2 linked regions of the Callithrix jacchus genome follow. The protein of the gene in region 1 interacts with the protein of each later gene in a biochemical or structural test. Links are inferred from orthologs where the notes say so. Each region holds a gene or a part of one and is shown on either strand. Other genes may lie near its edges.

What was found. The genes of interacting proteins can lie anywhere in the genome.
Region 2: the proteins of COPS7A (region 1) and COPS4 form a complex in vitro, tested with the Homo sapiens proteins (2 studies listed by BioGRID). The link is inferred for Callithrix jacchus from reciprocal best matches to the Homo sapiens genes COPS7A and COPS4.

Annotation. Positions count from the first base shown.
Region 1 is NC_133510.1:20,919,894-20,922,620, reverse strand, and holds part of COPS7A (COP9 signalosome complex subunit 7a), read right to left. Parts: intron 1,763-2,727; coding exon 1,687-1,762; intron 1,457-1,686; coding exon 1,368-1,456; intron 432-1,367; coding exon 229-431; intron 1-228.
Region 2 is NC_133504.1:114,734,708-114,738,228, reverse strand, and holds part of COPS4 (COP9 signalosome complex subunit 4), read left to right. Parts: intron 1-1,885; coding exon 1,886-2,039; intron 2,040-2,208; coding exon 2,209-2,359; intron 2,360-3,521. UniProt on the Homo sapiens protein: Component of the COP9 signalosome complex (CSN), a complex involved in various cellular and developmental processes.

The sequences.
Region 1 (2,727 bases):
CTCACTCCCTTTCCATCCCTGAATTACTATATCAAGGACACTGACTTCTGCCGCCTCCCAGGACCTCCCTACTCCTGCATTCCCCAGAAGCCTTTGAACTCATTTTCCTTCATCCCCCTCAGTTCTACCTCTGCAGACCAGCCCAGCTCTTGCCCTCTCTCACCCTGAAGCACCTTTCACTTTCTCAGAGTGAGAAGGAAGGGGACAGCACCAGGATATGGTTCTCACCACTCCTGCAGGGTTCGGGCAATGGCACTGAGGTCCTGGCGCTGGATGTCCCGCCCAATGCTGTAGTCAACCTCCAGCCGCTGGTTGCGCTGGTCCAGGGAGCCACGAAGCACATCAGCATACACAGCCTCAATCACAAGGTCTTCCAGCTGCCGCACGTTACGCAGGGCAAGAGCCTCCAGCAACACTGCATATGGGATACACTGGGGCCGCGGAGATCAAGCCAGGATTTGTGAGGCTCCGCAGCAGGAAAGGGCTTCCAAGAATCTTCCCTCCTTTTCCCCCTCCCCCAGCCCACCTGCCCTCCACTCCCATTCCTAAATCACTTCCTCTAAGAGCCTGGTTCTGAAGCAAAATAAAAGTATTCCCACTTCAAAAACAGGATCATTAGAAGGACATTCTTAAATCAAATACAAAATGCTCCCCTTCCACCCTTACCCCTCCCACACCACAGAGGGAGAAAAATGACACCTGCCTAGGTGTCACTCCTTTGGCCAAAGCTCAGGGTGTCACCCAGTCCTTAGTCAAGAACAGCTGGACATAGGGGAGGAAGCAGTAGTGAGAGAGGTCTGGAGTTACTGTTTATCATTTATACTCTGCCTACTTGCCAGAGGCAATCCTTTGGAGGCATCTCTCAATAGAGAGCCTGGTTTAAATTAAATCCTGAGGACAACTGAGAGTCAAGCAACAATTGCGAGGCCGCAGACTGGGCAGGTGGGGGAGGTGGGTGGCGATACTGGACAAAAACCAGCCTAACAGGAATAGAGAGATGCTTCCGGGATATATATTTCTTATTCTAACAAAGAGAAGCCTAGCACATCTCAGGAGAGAGCCCGGTTTCCAGCCTGGAGGCTGTGTCTATACAGGGCTTGATGAAGTGGGGAGGATGGTATTGCTGAACAACATGCCATTCTGACCAAAAACACAAGAGATGTTTATTTAGAACTTAAGTTGATTGAAAAATAAAAAGACAGAAAACTATGGACAATATTCAGCCTAAACAGTTGCTAATGGAGTTTATATACAGACGTTGGAGGAGGGGAGGGCAGGAAATAGCCACAGTTCACACAAGAGCTGTCCTAGTGCAGACTCCCAGGGACATACAAAAGGATGCTCTAGACTGGGGGACTGCCACTCACCTTTACTTTAGCAGCCAGGGTGACAACTGATAGGTGTCGAAGCTTATTCTTCTGTGCCTCTGTTAGCGGGGGAAGATTCCGGGCTTCAGCTAGGGAAAAATGACAAAGTATACGGAATCCTGATTGCAGTTTTGTGGGAAGCCCTAGCCTCCTTCCCTTGCTCCCTCCCCTCCCACTTTCCAGGCCAATTCAGGCTTGACCCTGATCCTCTGCACCCCGAGGTGGGATCTAAGTGGGATATCCCAGGAATTTCTTCCAAGTCCCTCCAGAAATTGCCCTTCTATTTCCATTACTCCAGAGCACCAACCCCTCTGGTTACCTAAGTAGTCAGCGTACGTCCCATAAGCAAACACTGTGAGCAGCCGGAAGGTGGAGGCAAAGTCACTCTCAGCCAGCTGTGAGAATGAGGAAAAAGAGGAGGTGACAGGAAGTCTTCCCTCTCCACCCTCCCAGCCTTACCATGTTTCGAACGCCACTTTTTGGCCCCATCATTCCCGGCCAGTGTTAACTCTCCTGGCTCACCAAAAGGAGTTCTCTGCCTCTCTGATCACTATCCCCACAGGAAGGGCTCATTTCCACCTGCAGGCCTTTGTTTATTTTACACTAGTCTGCCAATCCACAATGCCCTCTTGCTCCATATGCCATCCAATTCCCACCCTAAATTCAGAGATGAGGACATTCAGTTTTCAGAGTCCAACAGACACATACCAGACACTGCAAGTTGTGTTGTCTGGCCCTCAGTGTTTGGTATTTCTAAATATGAATATCTCTGGGCAGTCTGCAGTACTCCCCAATTAACCAGACTCCTGCCTCAGCCTCACTCATCTCTGAAAGCTGCACAGCCCACCTGACCAGGACACTATCTTCCATCACCCAGTCTAGTACGCTCAGATCTCCTCTCTTCGTATCACCAATCACTCATTCTGGCACCTTTTTTTTTTTTTTTTTTTTTTGAGACAGTCTTGCTCTGTTGCCCAGGCTGGAGTGCAGTGGCACGATCTCGGCTCACTACAACCTGCACCTCCCAGGTTCCAGCCACTCTTGTGCCTCAGCCTCCCAAGCAGGTGGGATTACAGGTGTGCACCACCACACCCAGCTAATTTTTGTATTTTTTTTTTTTTTTTTTGAGTCAGAGTGTCACTCTGTCACCCAGGCTGGAGTACAATGGCACGATCTCGACTCACTGCAACCTCCACCTCCTGGGTTCAAGTGATTCTCCTGTCTCAGCCTCCTGAGTAGCTGGGATTACATGCACCCACCACCACACTCAGCTAACTTTTTGTGTTTTTGGTAGAGATGTGGTTTCACCATGTTGGCCAGACTGGTCTCAAACTCCTGACCTCAGGTGATCCAACCACCT
Region 2 (3,521 bases), on another chromosome or scaffold:
GTGATGGAGGGATTCTTTTTTTGATCTTCATTAATATTTGCAATAGTGAGGCAGACACTGCTTCAGACATCTTGCCTTTTTTGCATTATTTATGAAATTACTAGGTAATGATGCTCTTTGAAAAAGCAGCCAGTTCGTTAAAAAAAAAAAGCCTTCATATATAGATGTTGAATTTAGCATTTCAAGGTCCCCTTAATAATTTCGTAGTTTGAAGGATTTTCTTGATTGCTTTGATCTTATATTTTCTCCCTAGCACAGGACAATTGATTTATTTTCAGTGGTAGTTGAAATAAATATGAAATTAGATACTGTTTTTTTCAGTGGTCATAATTATCATTTTAATAGTACTCTAGCTTATCTGTGAGGAAACCAAAGAGATAAAAATGTCATTGGTTTTCTAAACAAGTTAAAGTGACTAAATGTAGACTTTGAATAAATGGGAACATCTTCTTTCAAAAAATGATTCATTCTGATTATGAAAGTAATTGACATAACAGTTACATGGCAAAAAGTTGGAAAATTCGAGTATAGTGCTATACATAGCAATTAATGTAAATTTGAATTGTGAATGGAAAAAAGTACAGAATATTAATATATGCAAAACAAAGTTGCATGAATTTCTCCTCCCATTCCCTTCCCTCCCACATCAATAAAGTATAGAATTATTTTCAAAGCTGGGGCCAAGTGAATTATAAACTGTGTTCTTGCCACATGGTGGCACCACTTTTACAGGTAAATAGAATTTTTCTATTAGGATTAATCTTGAATTATATGAGTTTTGAATTATGTGAGATCTTCAGTTATGTATTTCTGGCATAAAATGTGACCACGGAGATGAAGGGGAAAATGAAAACCACTTATTATCTCAGTACCCACAGATAATTGCTGTTACTATTTTGATATATGTATATAGAAATATATTTTGATAGTTTTTTACGTACTGTTGTATCTAGTTTTTTTTTTTACTTAGCAAAAATACATGATGACTGTTATCACATAATAATGGTTATAATTATACAGCGTTCTACCATTTTTATGTACAACTTGATTACCAATAATGTCATAATGGGTGATTTCCATTTTTTTCCTAGCATAGGTATTTATAAATAACTTTACAAATGAATATCATTTTAGGTGCGTATGTGTGGACATCCCTGGCTATCTTTTTAGGTTTTCTTTTCTTGATTTTTTTTTTTTTTTTTTTTAGAGACGAAGTCTTGCTGTGTCCCCCAGGCTGGAGTGCAATGGGACGATATTGGCTCACTGCAACCTCCGCCTCCTGGGTTCAAGGGATTCTCCTGTTTCAGCCTCCTGAGTAGCTGGGATTACAAGTGTGCGCCATCACTTCTGGCTAATTTTTCGTATTTTTAGTAGAGATGGGGTTTCACTATGTTGTTCAGGCTGGTCTCAGACTCCTGACCTCAGGTGATCCATCTACCGAGGTCTCCCAAATTGCTGGGATTATGGGCATGAGCCACCATGCCTGGCCTTAGGATTTATTTTCTAAAGATAAATGTATAATGGGTTAAGGGTATATTCGTTTTAAAGGATTCAACAGATAGTTGGAGAGCATATTTCCAAATTGTTTTCTAGGAAAGTTGTCTCACTAGTTATATATGATATACCCCTAAACTGGGAAGTTGTTCTTGTAAGAGCTTTAGCTGGTAAGATTATCTGAGGATTAAAAGCAGCTAAGATATAATGGGATCAATGATGATAAAAATTCAATAAAACTTACTTTTTAGTTTTTGTATAATGCAGTAAAAAGTTTGATTCCCTTATGGTACCAGAATATATATGAGGCAAAAGCAGCATATCTTCTATTATTCCTAAAATTTTCTTGACAAAATGTTGACTCATTATGTGTTTTTATGTTACATCCTAGACAGTACAATGTAGATTATAAACTGGAGACTTACTTGAAGATTGCTAGGCTATATCTGGAGGATGATGATCCAGTCCAGGCGGAGGCTTACATAAATCGGGCATCGTTGCTTCAGAATGAATCAACCAATGAACAGTTACAGATACATTATAAGGTAACAGCTGAGTTGATTTGGAATTAATTTTGTATTGGAGAAATTGTGACATACTAAGATGTTCCAGAACATCTGATAGATGCTCTTAAATATTAGAAATTCTTTTTCTGTTTTTTTTTACTCTCACTTTTTAATTTTTCCCCCTAATTGAAACATTTTCCCTCTGTAGGTATGCTATGCACGTGTTCTTGATTATAGAAGAAAATTCATTGAAGCTGCACAAAGGTACAATGAGCTCTCTTACAAGACAATAGTCCATGAAAGTGAAAGACTAGAGGCCTTAAAACATGCTTTGCACTGTACCATCTTAGCATCAGCAGGTAAACACGTAGTAATTTATGCTTAAATGAACAGTTACCTTTGCTTGATAACTTGAGGTTGGTTACTATTGGGAAATTTAGCAAGGAACTATTCTTCAAAGGGATGTCTTAATACAATTATGGTAAATGTAGTTTAAGTGTTTAAATAAAAACGAATAAAATGGTTTGTTAAAATAATTTAATATGCTCATATTAGTCTATTATGCATATGTGTTAAGAATAGTTAAAGGAGATAATGTAAAGTTTAGTTCTAAAATTTTACTAAAGAAATGGATATTGGCTGGGCATGGTGGGTCACGCCTGTTATCCTGGCACTTTGGGAGGTCTAGGCAGGTGGATTACGTGAGGTCAGGAGTTTAAGATCAGCCTGAGCAGCATGGTGAAACCCTGTCTCTTATAAAAATTAAAAAAAAAAGAAAGAAATGGATATCAAATTAAGTGAGAATTACGCAGAGTGAAACAAAAATTAAAGTCTATAGCTTGATGAAATGATAATTAATGTACTGCTTTTGGAATTTTTTTTAACTTTCAAGCCTCAGCTTTAAATCTGGTATTCATCCTTTTCTCCAATACATGTAACAAATAAATATTCTTTGTTCTTTTTACTAAATTATAGCATGTAAATCACTTATGAAGTAGAAAGGGCATTAAGAGGAAATGCTAATTCTAAACCATAGCTTTTCTTGCCCTTTTTTTTTTGAGAAGGAGTCTCACTCTGTCGCCCAGGCTGGAGTGCAGTGGCGCCGTCTCAGCTCACTGCAACCTCCGCTGCCAGGGTTCAAGGGATTCTCCTGCTTCAGCCTCCTGAACAGCTGGGACTACAGGTGCCTGCCGCAATACCCAGCTAATTTTTGTATTTTTAGTAGAGATGGGGTTTCATCACCATGTTGACCAGGTTGGTCTCGAACTCCTGACCTCATGATCCCCCTGCCTTGGCCTCCCAAAGTGCTGGGATTACAGGTGTGCGCAGCTGCCATGCATGGCCTACCCATAGCTTTTCTTATATCACTCTATCACCCAGGCTGGAGTGCAGTTGCACAATCACTGCTCATTATAACCTCAACCTCCGGGACTTGAGTGATCCTCCCGTCTCAGCCTCCCAAGTAGCTGGGACTATAGGCACACACCACCATGCCCAGCTAATGTTTTTGTATTTTTTTTT